Lonchura striata: one gene and its partner. The protein of the gene in region 1 interacts with the protein of each later gene in a biochemical or structural test. Links are inferred from orthologs where the notes say so. Each region holds a gene or a part of one and is shown on either strand. Other genes may lie near its edges.

What was found.
Region 2: the proteins of RNF11 (region 1) and ZFYVE9 form a complex in vitro, tested with the Homo sapiens proteins (2 studies listed by BioGRID). The link is inferred for Lonchura striata from reciprocal best matches to the Homo sapiens genes RNF11 and ZFYVE9.

What each region holds. Positions count from the first base shown.
Region 1 is NC_134611.1:10,220,354-10,227,432, reverse strand, and holds the start of RNF11 (RING finger protein 11), read left to right. Parts: upstream 1-4,009; 5' UTR 4,010-4,239; coding exon 4,240-4,362; intron 4,363-7,079. UniProt on the Homo sapiens protein: Essential component of a ubiquitin-editing protein complex, comprising also TNFAIP3, ITCH and TAX1BP1, that ensures the transient nature of inflammatory signaling pathways. Promotes the association of TNFAIP3 to RIPK1 after TNF stimulation.
Region 2 is NC_134611.1:9,886,073-9,894,019, reverse strand, and holds the start of ZFYVE9 (zinc finger FYVE domain-containing protein 9), read left to right. Parts: upstream 1-4,778; 5' UTR 4,779-4,817; intron 4,818-6,067; exon of another isoform or gene 6,068-6,196; intron 6,197-6,886; exon of another isoform or gene 6,887-6,904; intron 6,905-7,947. UniProt on the Homo sapiens protein: Early endosomal protein that functions to recruit SMAD2/SMAD3 to intracellular membranes and to the TGF-beta receptor.

The DNA.
Region 1 (7,079 bases):
CAGGTGCCCCAGGGCACAGGATAGGCATACATTACACTCGTCACTGAAAAAACATTTTGGACCTGGGGAAAACCGTTATTAAGGAAAGCAAGTTATTCTTGCCAGTCATGGAATACTTCTTCTTACCAAGATGGTATATTTGGGATAAATTGCTTTAAGTGGCATATTTGTGATACCAGTATAATTTAGGCAGAAGTTTAAGTAATTTTTAGAAACATGAGTAAAATCCTGCATCACAAAGTACATTTCAGGGAAATATATTAGTTCCATAATTGCTTTCTAGTGCTGCATTCACTCTGTCTCAGAAAGCAATATGCATTTGTAACATACACTGAGAAATGTCTATGGTTCAGCTAAAATCAACAAAACTAAAAATAATCATGTGCATTTTAGAAGATGCCATGTTCTTTATAACCACATAAATTAATTCCACCATCCTCATAATCAGATTCACATACATAATGGAAGAATGTAATTTACTTCCATTCTCCAGAGGTATACAAAGTATTTTTTTTTTTTTTTTCCTTCCAGAAAAAGGTTTTAAAATTGCATTGTGTTCTATTCACCAACATTACCCAAGCAAACAGAGTTATCTCTGAACCTCTGGGTAGCATGGCATGGAAAGATTGCACTCAGAAATCAACTGGGCTTCTGTGTATGAATTGGGAAAACAATCCTACCCAGAAGAAAGATAAGACCTAATGAGAGATGATAAGTGTTGGGAAAATAAGCTTGATGGAAGAAAAGGAAGTGAAAAAACTTTTCCATGCTGAGGACAGAAAAGGTCTTTCGAAAACTTTTGTTAAGCATGACATATTAAACATATCCAAAATGTTATCCAACAATAACATGAACATGGATCACGTAAAATGGTGTTATCAAAAGATCTTTCATCTAAAAATTAGGCAATTTATGACGCCAATATTGTAGAGGAACTCCTAACAAGAAGGACTTTTTATGTCTCCAGAGGATTTTAGATTTTGAACTCAAAAGGAAATGGATTTTTCAGTAGAACAGTTCATCACCTCCGGCTACCTCATATGAGCCTTAAGAATATGTCAATATGTCATTTGCCTCCTCTCATATCAAAAGCCTGTAAAATAAAACATAAACTTTGTCTGCATAGTTTAAAACTCTTTTTCTTGAATTTCCATTCTGTTTTGAAAGAGAGATTTCACTCAGAAGATGCTAGCTGTCACAAGGTGGTGAGGACAGACCCATGTGTGACATTGTTGTATTGAGGTGTACCAGAACATTAATTCTGTATGCTGGCAAACTTCAGAACTTCCCCATTACCATTCTGAAAACAGATTACAGCCAACTGTTTAAATGTCTAGATGTGAGGAAAAGTTTCATTGACTTGCCTTGCCAGTTCTGTATTGATATTAGTCTGACACAAATTTTTGTATTTGCATGATCTTTTCTGTCTGTAGTATTTGTGCAGCCCTAAACCACGACATGAATCTTTCTTCCTCTACAGGAGCATTCTAAGGCTCTAGAAAATCCATTCTGACTATTACGTGTTCCCCAAAATTAGTAGAGGAAGTAAAAACCAGAGAGAACCGAAGTAATCAGTTAAACTACACCATGGTTCTGCTAAAGCAAAGAAACCACACTCATAAATCACATCTTCTGAGGATCCATCCCTCTACTTCCTTGTCCCCAACCTGCAAAAAGTGTGGTAGCAAAAGGAGTAGGCTCACAGCTACATCTCAGCATATTCAGGGATATTAAAAGACATTTGTGAACACTAAAATGTTTCCATTTTCCATATCCTCAGACCTTTGTACAACTTTTGAGCTGATGGTTCAAAGCCACTATTAATGACCTATCTGGCAAAACAGGAGTGAATGGCCAGGAAAAGCAGTGCCTTCAACCACCCCAACTTGAAAGAGTCCAGACATGACTGGTAGTAGCTCTTCCCCCTTCAGAGCTCTCACAGGTGCAGTCTGTCTTGTTGCAAGGCCAAACATGAACCTCTCTGCTTCCTCTTTGGTCTCTGTGAATCCACCGTGAAAAGCAGGTCTCTTCTGGCATTTGACAAGTCTGCATTTTTTAAAACATGCCCAGATTTGGAGCATCCTGTACCTACTAAGGGGAAAGTTTTAACTGGGCTTAGCAGCTATTCCTTCTGGAGATCGGCCACAAGGTAAATAAATGCAACATCTCTACCATGAGATGCAGAGGAAATCCCACCTACATCCTGACTGTATATCAGGATGAGACCAGTTTGCACTCTGGTTTCCAAAGAAAGGCTATTTTGGCACGTCAGCCAGCAGGGAGGCACCACAGGTTTCCATAGGACCTCCTCACTGTGGAGGATCAAACTGTGATCACAGCCTCACACCATGGCACAGTGTGACCTGTGGTTTTCACTGAACTACATCAACGACACAGGCCTGAGCCTCAGAGAGAAAACAAAACACAAGATAACAGCTGAGTAACTCAGTCCTTCTAGCTGCCCATCATCTTGTTCCCAATGGTGCCAGTGCACAACTCAAAATACCAGTGACAATGCTGGAGTTTCATCACCAGGTTCTCACAGCAGACAGCTCTGACATTGCCTTAACCTTGAAAATCATGACTGGGTGAGGCAGTGGTTCACTAGATCCCCTCCAACAATTGCTTGCCTAATTCTATTAAACCAAGCCAACAGACTCATAGGATAAACACCCAAATGAGCAAGCCATGTACCACAGTCATTATTTACAATGCACCACTGCAAAGCCTCTCTATCTTGAGCAACACTAAAAATCCTGCCCGATTTTCAGTTTCTGTTTCCTTGAAAAGCCTGAAGCTGTGTTAGAACACCATAAATGGCAGCAATCACAGGCTTTACACCAGGGTTGTTTAACTTACCCTTTGATAAGCAGCAAAACAAACTACCCTAAACAGTAATAAAATGAAATCTACAAGAATGAACTCATAAGGATAATCAGCAAAAACTCTGATCCCAGACTGAGGTCCACCAGCAGAGGTTGTGGAGGCAAATACATAACTGTGAATGGCATGTCTGGAGATATTCTGACCCAAGAAGTTGCAAAGCAGGCCCAAGCTGTATCAGCAGACAACTTGGTACTGCAGCCACGCTGTACTGCTTTACAGACTGGAATTCGCAGCTGCTCTCATCTGCACCGTATTTGCTTCACCTTAAAAAATACTTCACTTTAAAAATTGGATTTTAAAGTATTTTCCATTATGTGACTCTGAAGGCCAAGGATGCATTTTGAGGAACCAAAGAACACTAACAGGACCATCACATATCCCACGCTGTGTGGGTTAGTGCTGGCACACTAACACAGTGACACGGGGGCATTCAGTATCCTCAGATTTGCATTTATCAGTACTTACCTAGACTTATATCCAAGTATGGATATATTTTTATGAAGGCAAAAAAGAGAAGATAAATATATGGCTCATTAGAGTACTTGCTCATCGCATAAAAAACCCTTTAGAAACGCAAAAGCCAAGTGCTGATTTTGCTCCACTCTGGGGCTCACTGCCCTGTGCCTAGACTGACCGTGCCGCTGGGGTCACGCCAGCGACCAGCACGGGGAACTCTTCCCTGCCTGGGGAGCCTTGGGCAGGCCCCGGGCCTCGCACAAAGCGCCTCAGCCGGGGCGGGCCGGGTGGCGCGGGGGTCGCCGCTGCGCTCCCGTCCCGCCGCGCCGGGCCCCGCCATGCCCGGAACACAAACAAACACCGCGCTCGGGGGCGGGGCCAAGCGGCTCCCACCATCTTGGGGCCGGGGGAGCCCGGCAGGCGGCTGGGTTCCCCAGCCCGTCCCGTCCCGCCTCGTCCCGCCGGGGGCGGGCAGGGCTGTCCCCGCGGCGGGGCCGGGGGGTGCGCAGCCCAGCGAGGCCCCGCGGCTGCTCCCGGGGCCGGGCGGGGAGGGGTGAGAGGAGGAGCCAGGGCGGCCCGTGCGACAAAGCCCAGTGCGCAGGGAGCCGGTGACCGGGAAGCAGAACCGCGCCGGGCAGCCGCGGGCGGACCCACCGGAGCCCGCTGCCCCACGGGGGGTGGGAGGCCCGTCCTGCCGCCCCCCCCGGCTCGGGGGTCGGGGCGGCCGCGGAGCGGAGCGGGAGGCGGCCGGGCTGCAGCTGCTAAGCCGCTTAGGGCCGGGGCTGGCATGAGCCTCCCCGGCGGGGCGGCTGCGGGCTGCGCGCTGCGGCGGGGAGGCTGAGGGCGCGGATCCGGAGCGGGAGGAGGCGAAGGAGGGGCCGCGCTCCCCCCGGGAAGATGGGGAACTGCCTCAAGTCCCCCACCTCGGATGACATCTCGCTGCTGCACGAGTCCCAGTCGGACAGAGCTAGCTACGGAGACGGGGCTGAGCCGGATCAGGAGCCGCCGCCGCCATATCAGGTAGGGGAGGGGGCGGCAGCGGGGCCGGGGGTCGCGGCGCCGCTCGCCCGGGGCCGGTGCGCGCCGCCCCGGGGGCCGCCGCCGCCGCTCCGGCGCTGGGCGGCCCGAACCTCTCCCTTTCCGCCCGCACGTAGCGCGGGGGAAGCCGCTTTGTCTCGGCCGGTGCCGGCGCTCCGGGCGGGCGGGAGGCGGAGGGCAGGGGCCGCCCGGCCGGTGCCGCGTCCTTTGTTGCCGCCGGCGGTGACATCACCGTCTGTGTGATGTCCCCCGCACCGTCTGGCGCGGGGACGCTCCGGGACGGGGACCGCGGGCCCTGCCCGGGCTTAGCCCGGGCCCGCTCGCTCCGCTCCCGTATTTTTAGCAGCATCTGATCCCCACTGAGTAACTCGCCCAGCGCAGCGGATCCTGTTTCCCTCCGTCCTGTGGGGCACCGGCGGGGAAGTGTTTCCCATTGTTCGGTGGGGTTTTTGGTTTTTTTGTTTTTTTTTTTTTTGTTTTTTTTTTTTTTTGTCTCTGGGAGAATCTCTTAATTTACATCTTGATGATGAATCAAGGGGGAAAGAAGGAAAAGGCCGAGCGTGCTTTGATGGCTTTGCTGTCAGCGGAGGGTAACGCCGGTGTGGAGGGAGGATGGCATTGGTGTCGAAGCCTGCGCTTGGCCGCCTCTGGAAGGGATGGACACGAAAAGGGAACCTGAACTTGGGGTTGCACTTGTCTGCTCCCGGACATCTCCTCCCCCACCTACAGAAATGCGTACTGACCTAAACAAACGGTCTACAGCACTGAAAAATGAAAAGGAAAACCATCCAGCGATAGAACTGCACATTGTATTCGAGTTTTGAAAGTATTTTATTGTCTGGGATAATAGCATACATACCAGAGGCATCTACAGAAACACACATTCTGGGGGGTAGGTGTAACTTGAGAGCTGATGTTTTCTAGGATGGGAGTCATTCCCTAATTGCAGAGCTTGATGTATAATTAACAAAATTGCAGGAAGTATTTAACCGGACAGGCATGTAATCTATAAATGCTTTAGCGAGTTCAAGAATTCCACCCTGATAGGAGCCCCGTAAGTGTTGAAGAGAAGCCCTGCACGTAGCAGCCCTTGCTGGTGCCCTGAAGCTGCACTGATGTTTCTTGGCAGTGTGTGCCTGATTGTTTTGTTTGGGTGCAAAAGCTGAATGTCACAATAAATTTCGTGAGGATTTTTTCTGTTCTGATTTCTGAACTATGTCTGCTGAAGTAAATAGAAAGTGCTTGGTGGCGGATCAAGTTTTTTGTGTTGTTCTAAATTAAGCCTGAATGGTTTAGAAGGTGTTGTATGAGGTTTAGAAGTGTGTTGTATTTTTGTCAAATCAGCATAACAAGTTTGAATGTTTGTGCTGTTGATTGCATTTATATCTGTGATTATAGGAAGACTTGTGAAGGTTTTTGTCTTCTTGTTCTTCCCTTTGAAAGCAACCTTTTAGCTCTTGCAAGAGTCAACAACCACGTAAATGCCTTATACAGGCCTTCTAGTGTGGATGTTGAAGTAGAGAAGGACTCTGTCGTCAGAGGTTTTTAAGATTTTTTTTCTTGATGAGGAACTTGTCTGTAAGTGTGGATGGTTGACTGAGAACACGACAGACAGTAAAATAAATGAACCCACAGGTGTCTATTATCGAGGAAGTGTATTCATAGCAAACCTTCCCTCAGCTGAAGAAGCTGTGCAGCATCAGGTGATGTGCCCACAGGCACTTGGCTGTGTTGAACATCACTGTCTGTCCTGAAAACTCCTCCACTGATCCTGCCAGTTCCTAAAGCTTCACCTTAGGGTAGCCTTTAGTGTCTCATAGTCAAAATCAAAGCTACTCTTTCCACAGGTTTTGAGCCATGATGGATTGTGACTTTAAAAAAAAAAAAAATAGGTCTTAGCTACAATATTATGCAATATCTGTGCGCTTTAGAGGTTGAGGGGATTTATAATTTTAAATTAGTTAATATTTACAAGATACACAAAACTCTTAAGTAGGAACAATTGCTAATGCTCCAGTATTACTTCTGTGCTAGAAATAAGTCGCCCATTTTAACTTTCAAGTGGCAGCTCAGAGTCAGTGTTGGAAAGTTGTGGCCTTGTTCCTGGTAATGACTTCTTTCAGTATCTTAGCCAGAGTTAGTGTATAATGAGTAGACATTAGAAATGAAAGCAGGAAAGGGGATAAAGCAAGTTGGAAAACTTACTTGTGGCAACTAGCCTTGAGAAACTGGAAGGTGAAGAGTTTTAAAGCCAGCTGCTGAAATATCAGCTGCATATTTTAGAAGAAAGTAAAATCTGGTGTCTGTTGCTGTTGGGTTTGCAGCAACAGTATGTCAACTTCCTGAGTAGCTCTTGCAAGGTATGCAAACTAAGGGAAGGAGGTTTGCTGGGGGAAGATACACAGTTGTAGAAGATGACTTCTGTATTATTTTGACATTTAAAGTATTTTTTTGTGTTCTGACAGGATTGTGCCAGGGATGTTCATGTGAGACTCCTGTTATGACTTAGTATTTATTTACCTATTGAGTTCCAACTGCAAAATGTACCCCCAGTAAAAATTGCAGTATAGCATGTGGAATTTCTTTGATCAGTGAGTGCTATTAAACTGGCTGTGTAAAATTCCTACTTCCAAAAGTGAGGTTGAGACTTGCATTGACAGTACAGACACGTAGAATAATGTGAGAGGCTCTGCAAATAC
Region 2 (7,947 bases), about 330 kb from region 1:
TCTTAGAGCCTCCAGGCCAGTGTTTGGCGTATGGACAGAAAAGCTATGGATGTTCAAGATTTAGCCAGCACAGACAGTAAAGAAGTTTTAACCCTTTCAAATGCATAACCTATTGAGTTTACTGTTGAAAAGGATTGTAATATTTTTTCCTTTTTTTCTTTTTCCTTTTTTTTTTTTTTTTTTTTTTTTTTTTTTTTTAACTCCTAAGGATACATGGCACATTTAAAATTTAAACTTGACAAAATAAGAATAGGTATTCAGCATGGAATGACTCTAAACTGACTCACACAATGAGATGGTGACCTAGCAGGCCTTTTTCCTTCCAAGAGATTAAGACCTATCTGGTGGAAAATGCATCATAGATTAATTAAGTGCCCATGTATTAGTGGCTTTATCGTATGACTCACTAATACTGAGCTAACCTTAATATAGGATTCTGAGAATCTTAAGCCAAGGATTTTATTGATTTACATTGTTCTAGTGCAGGTAGTACTTGAGTTTAATGGATGAAGACTGCACAGAATTTAGAAAAATCAAAGATTCAAGACTGATGAGGTAATCAAAACGTATTGAGACAGAAACCACCGGAGCTGGGCCAGTCTCTCAGCCACTAGAGGGCAAAGCCACAGCACTGCAGTCGGCAGCGCCGTCTGCTCGCCTCTTTCTAAGGATGTTATCAGCGAGGGCGTTTATTTTACAACAAAAACTGATTAAATGATCACTAAGCCCTTCACTACGAACGGCGTTAGGAATGAATACTTAGAGTATTGTTTCTGTCAAAGTGTGGCAGGCAAGCAGTTATTAGCAACTGCGCAGAAAAAAAGCCAACATTTTCTTCCATGGAACTGTGAATAAAAGCTTCAGTCACTCAAGAGGTTTGGACTCTTAGGCTCACAGCACAGCCCTTTCCTACTCGAGATTTTGCATATCAGTAGAAGGCTGAGCACTTTTATCAGGAACTATGTTGGGAAAGTAATTAACATTTTGCTGCAAAGTTTTCTAGTTTTTTGACGGTACCAGATCAGACTGAGATTTCGGAATGTTTCAATAACAGAGTTTGGATACATCAGAGCCTTACGTGCAATCCCCTACCCAAGTCAGCCTTTGACCTTCTAATATCAAGAATTCTTGTTCTCTCTACTGGTTCTTGCCCTCTCCTGTGCAATGCATGTTTCAAGCACCTATTCTCTGCTCACACTAAATTTCCCACTGCACTTTTCAGAGATCAGGTGTGGGTCAGCTTTGGGTGGACCTGAGAGACTGCTTTGCACAAGATCAATGTGCTGTCTGTGACAGTGGCCAGAAGCAGATGCTAGAGGAAGAGTTTAGTAGCAGGAAAATCATATAGGCACACATATCAGGAGTATCCTCCCAGCTTCCAGCAATGCATGTCTCAGGCTTCCTGAGTGAGAAAAGTTATCTTGGTATGCAATATGCTACAAAGGCTTTGCCTTCTGTGAACAAGTCCACCCTTCTCTTCAACCATTGTAAACACTGCCTTCCCCACGGCTGCTCCCATCATGTGCTGAACAGCACATGAGCTGTGTCAGATGATGCTGAAAGGGATGACAGGTTGTTACTTCTTAGTGCCCTAGGAAATCAACTTCTGCATAGACAAGCAGCCAGAATTCACAGCTATAGACACAGAGTTCTACCTCCCGGGGAGCAGACTTACAGGACTGAACTCCTGCTTCTGTTAAAATTAAGTTTTTACAACCTCCTGATTTTGACATTCCCAGTGCTGGGAAATCCAGCTTGTCCCATCCTAAACTGTCCTGGTTATTAATTACCTTCCCTGGTAGAAGACCTCACAGGAAGATGAATACATCTGCATACACTCACTGAATCTTGAAGGTCCTTAAAATGTGTGATTGAGTCACCCCTATATCTTCTTTATTGACACTGAAATAGGTTGAACCTTTTCATTTTCAGTCTAAATCATTCTTATTGATCTTCTCTGAACCATCTCTTTTTCAGCTTCTATTAAGGAATTAAGGAGTTTAGGTATCAGGAGCAGTTGGATTAGTACCAGAAAAATAAATAGAGATATCTTTCTATATTCTCCTGTTTATAAGCCCAAGGATTGCATTATCCTCTTGGCTACAGCATCACACCACCTGCTTATTTTCTCCTGATTATATGTGATGATTCTTGAGGTTTTTGAGCATTAACTTATAAAAGCACAAATTCTCTCATCCTAAAATCACTCCCTCTATTCCTTGATGCATGTTTTTACATTTGGCTGTACAGAAATGCACATTACTTGCTATCAAGCTGTCTCAGCTACTTTGCAGCATGACTTGTTATTTATTAATCCCTATTGCTTACAACACTTGCAAACTCTTTAAGTGATGATTTTATGTTTTTCTTAAAACTATTAATATCAATACAATGCAGTGTAGAACTAATTGCCATAGGATGCAGAAACACATTCTTTGATGATGGCTTTTTATTTTCCCATTTTGTAACTGTCAGTTAGTTAGAGTCTCAACAGTTCAATAAGTGCTGTGATGAGTCGGTAGCATTTTGGCTTCTTAATTAAAATGCTGCAAGTTACCAGAACAAAGATTTTGCAGACCTACTTACCTTCATCAACCAAACTTGTAATGCCATTTAAAAAATAAAATTATTTTCACAAGATTTATTTTCCACATTAATTTGTAGTTATTGTGTTTCCACTCTTTAATTCTTTTTCAATCAAGTAATGTAGATAATGTCCCATTTTATTACCCAGAATTCTTGTCAGTCTGGCAGGTTGTAATTACCTTGGTCACCTTGTTTACCCTTTAAAAATATTGGTACAATATTTCATCCAGTCCTCTGGAACTTTAACAGTGTTCCAAGATTTATTGAAAATCAACATTAATGGTCTAAAGATACTCTGTGCCAGTGCTTTTAAAACTGTTGGATGCAAGTTACCTGGACCTGCTGATAGCCAACTTCATTAGCTTCTGTTTAACATCCTCCTCAGTGCTTGTTGTAATGGAATGTATTTCATCATCATATGATATTTGTGTATCATATGGCTCTTCCCCAAAAAACAGACCAGGAATAGTTATTGAGTTCTTCTGCCTTTCCTACACTGTTGTTAACTGTTCCACTATTTCTGCCTAGGAACAGAGTGAAGACAGTATGAAACTTCCTTTTCTCCAGGTTTCTGCAAGTTTTACCACATAGTTTAAAAATCCTCTTATTTGTCCTTAACTCTGCAGTTCAAAGATTACTCTGGCATAATTTTGAATTCCCTGGAACTCCTAGATCCCAGAGTACACACATTGTTACATACATCTTTGTATTGACCCTGTAACTCTGTGCTACTCCCTGCAACCAGGGCACCTCAGAGGTTCCCTTCACCTTTCTAAGTGTGGACCTCTTTCCCCCTTTCCCATCCCCTGCCTTTTGCAAATTGGAGTATCCTCTTCTCTCCTTTATGCCTTTCTCATAAAGAGCTGGGAAAAATACTTGGGAAAAGAGGTGGCAAGCTCAATAGTAAGGTGTCCCGTGGGATAGTATCAGGCACCATTTCTTATGACAGTGCTGTGGAGGCCCACAGACATGGAAGAGCTGCAGATCCATTTTGGAGAGTTTGTAACTCGGACTCTTGTGCCAAGTGAAAGGTCATGGTCCATGGTCTTACAGCCTTGCTGTGGCTTGGGATTAAAATTATTCCTTTGGTTTGTTCACAGTGTTTCTCACTATCAATATTGAAATGTTTCTTCTTCTAGCAGAGGGAGCACATTGAGAACACAGGATGGGCAATTTCCCTGCTCTAAGCTCAGGTGTCTGGCACCACAACTGCCTGGAGCAGCTCCTGGAGTTTGTGGAGTTTGCTGCTTCTCTAGATACATCTTCATTAGGAACAAGTCATGAGGCATCCAAGCTACCCAGGGGGAATGGGGAATGAGACCATCACCTTAACTCACAGAAATTATTCCCATTGCTCCTAACTCCTGTTTTGCATGCTTTCATGCTTTGCCTTCTTGCAAAACAGCCAGTTATGATACCCTTCAGGAAAAACCTCTCTGTTTTTGGTGAGAAGATATCCCAGTAAATGGCTGTATCCAGAGGAATAAAAGCAGAAAAAAATTATGGTAGCAATATGCCTCCGTGAGGTAGATCACAGATGGCAAAGCTATGCACTTGCATGCATTTGGCCAGAGGTTATGGAGTGTTATGCCACTCACTCTTTAATTAATTTCCCTTTTTTTGTCAGGCATATTGTATGTTTATCAGTCTGAGGTGCTTCATGAGAACCATTTTGAGGACAGTAATGGTGTATTGCACCAATCTGAACCCCTCATCTGTGCTTCACAAGCATGACAACACTAATTGCTAAAGAGATAGCAAGTTGGGGTTAACCAGGAATGCTTTATGGGAGTAAATAAATTCCATCTCCATTAACATGCTACTTCCAGCTATGATGGATGAGCATTTTTTATCTCCTCAGCTATTTGCCCATGGATTGATGATTCAGTTGATTGGGAGTATCTCATATTTTTCGCTTGAAAAGCACATAGTTCCACCAGAATCAATGAATAAACATTAAGTGCCTCCCTTTCATTTCAAGCAGGATGGGCTGATGCTCTTGGAGCAAGGAGGCCTAGTTTTTATCACCGGGGCTCATTACACTGAGTTCACTGACATATGTGGCAAGTTTATGGAGAAGCCCAACCTGCTGGAAAGTGATGGGCTTCCTGTAAGTGTGAAGAAGAGGGAATGGCCCTGCAACTGCATTAGCAGCCAGCACACTCACCTTTCCCTCCTTCCTGGGCTGACATGGCACTGCTGCAGCCGGGGGATCACGGACCTGCACAAAGGTGAGGGGACAGCGACTCCTTCCCATTCCCCTGGCACCAAGCGAACCTTTCCTGAGGGGGAACCGAGGTGATGGTTTCCTGAGGCGAGGGGTGGGGTGTTCCTGAGGTGAGGGCTTCCTGAGGAGGGCGATGAGGGGTTCCTGAGGCGAGGGGCGAGGGTTCGTGAGGCGCTGGGCGCTCGCTCGCCCGGCTGAGGCTGAGGCGGCGGTGAGGGCGCGTTGTGCCGCTCCGCAGCCCGGCGCCGCTCCGCAGCCCGGAGCCGGCCCGCAGCCCGGAGCCGCTCCGCAGCCCGGAGCCGCTCCGCAGCCCGGCGCCGCTCCGCAGCCCGGAGCCGGCCCGCAGCCCGGCGCCGGCCGCTCGCCGCCCGCCCCGCGCCCGCCGGGCCGCGGCACACTCGGGGAGTGACATTTCCTGGAGTTCCGAGCGCCCGCAGCAGCGAAGAGTCCCGCTGCCGGCATGGGCGGCCGCCTCCTGTTGGAGAGAGAACGGGCGGGACTCCGGGCGCAGTGTCACGCTTTGGCACTGTCGGCTCGCTATATCGCGGCTCCTGTGGGGAGCGAGCGGGGTTGTTGGTTGTTGTGCGGTTGGTTGTTTTTGTTTTTTTTCTTTCTTTTTTAATTTGTTGTGTTTATATTTTTATTTTATTTTATTTTATTTTTATTTTATTTTTATTTTTTAATTTCTGGAAGCCTCTTTGCTGAGGACTGAACGTGTCTGCCAGCGGACGGCTCCGGGCCTCGCACCTCTCGGGGCAGCCGAGGGCGTCCCGCAGGATGGTGTCCCTCTCCGATTGTGGAGACACTCAACATGAAATGGCGAAATAACACATGTTCGGCTCCCAGCTGCGAGTTCTTCTGACCAGGTTTCGTGGAGCGATCACACTACACACATTGCAGCGGCTGCCCGGAGGCGCGTCCCTCGGTCCCTCGGCCGCAGGGCACCGGCAGCGCCCGGTAGCGGCGGTGGGTGCCCGGTGCCGCCTCGGCCTCTGTGCGTGTGTGTGGCTGTGTGGCTGCGGAAGCCGCGGCCTCGGCGAGTCCCCGCGGGGACAGAGCGGGCGGCTGCTCCCGCTGTGCGGCCGCTGCGGGGGTGCCGGTGAGGACCCCGGGCCCGGTGCGGAGGTGCGGGCGCGGACCCCGCGGCGCGGGGCGGGGGCGCGGCCGCTGCGCGCCGCCTCCCCGGCGGTGCCGCAGTGCCGTGCGCTGCCGCCGGGCCCGGGCAGGGGGCGCTGCTGCCGGGCGCTGCGGCGGCCTTGGCCGCGGAGGCAGCGAGCGAGCCCGGCTGGCGGCGGCGAGGGCGCGCCGGCCCCCAGCGCTCCCGGGCGGACCCGGGAGATCCCCCTCGCCATGCAGACCCGGCGGCGCCTGCTGCCTCTCGAGGTGAGTGAGCGGCGTCCGGCGCGTCTCCCGCGGGCCCGGAAGGCCGGGGTACCCCGCTCCCCAGGCCCCCCGCCGCCCGCAGCGAGGCCCCGCGGGCGGGCGGGCGGGGAGGGCTCCGGCGCATCGGTGGAGCCGCCGTATCGCCGACAGCGCCCTGGGCCTGCCGGCTCCGGGCGCCCCCTGCCCCGCCACCCTCGTCCTCGGCACGCCACCAAGGGGAAGGCAGCGGTCGCCCCCCAGCCCTCCCCGGCGGCCGCCGTGGTCCTTCGAGCCCTCTCCCCGCCGTTCCCCCTCCGTCCCCGGGCGTCCGGACTTGGTGACCCGCTCGCCCGGGGCACCTTTCTCCCCGCGCCGGCGATCCCGGGGATGGGGAAGGAGCTGCTGCTCCCCCCGGGACGCCTCGGGTGCCGGCGCGGGGCAGGGCGAGGTTGTGCCCGGGCAGCCGCGGCTGCCGGCCCGGGCAGGGGAGGATCCCTGTTTGCATCTCGTGCCCTTTTTATGGCCTGATCTCCGCTCTCTCCCCGGGCAGGGAATGTTACTTGCTCATCGCGATGTGTAACAAGTCACTCCTGCAATGGTGGTAGTGGTGGAGGGGGATGGGGAGAGCGGGCGGGATGCGTTTTATAACATCTCTAATTACGTGAAATTGTGGTCATGTCTCACTCTAAGAATAACTGGCACTCTTGGCATGTCAGACTTTTTGCAGAGGTAGGCTAGTTTCTTGCTCATAAATGTTATGGCTAAATATGTGCCTGTGGCAGAGTGTGGCTCAATAAATGTTTTTATCTTCTTAACCAGATAGAGAAGCAAGTAGCAGATAGAAATTGTTAGACTTTATGTTTTCTTGTAAACGATCTTCTTTATTTATAGACAGGATGTTCCTTATTATTTTATGACAGAGGTTTTTCAGAGGGTGGCATTTTTACACATATTTTCATTCCGTTCAGATATTAAAAGTTAACTGAGTTTCATCAATCTTCTATTAAGTGTCTCAGATTAGAATTTCTGAATAACCCTCTCTTCAGTTTTTGGGTCCAGACTGAACTCAAACCTGGAAGGAACCGTGTAAAAACAAATAAAATAGTAATAATGAAAAAGATGGTCTACCTGAATAAAAGCCTTTCTTTTCTTTGGGCAGCATTTAACTGACTAGGCAAGGCTTTAAAACATTGTGATTAACTTCTATTAGCAAATAATTTTTGATTGCATGGAACAAACTCAGATTTTAGATACACCTTCAGTGGCTGAAACATCCAAATCCTTTGTTACTGCTTGAACCTTCTGTGTGCTTTTTATAAAGTTACGGCATGTGATGCAAAATGAGAAGATCAGTCTCCTTGACCCAAGAGAGACAAATTTAAAAATCTCTTCAGAAGTTTGGGGAATCTGAAATGGAAGCTGAAGAAGGGTCTAAAATTTCAAACAAGCCTCCCCCTCTAATTGAAGCCCTGATCAGCCCTGAACAAGTTGCCATGTTCTGACACACTGTGATTTATTTGCATTGCTTTATGGTGCCTCCTTTAGTGTGTGAGAAAGGAAGAAACCCACCCCAAAACTGCCATGCTGACTCCTGATATTGGGTGTTATTTTTGTGTGTTAGCTTTGAGTCAGTTACGAGGCTGGGGATTAAATACTTTCAAACACACACTCATTTCAGGATCTGAGGCCTGGGGCTAAGGCTGAGATGAAATACAGTTTTTTTAGCTTGGCATAAAGTCTGGCTGTGATTGTCTCAGGGAACAAAGGTAGAG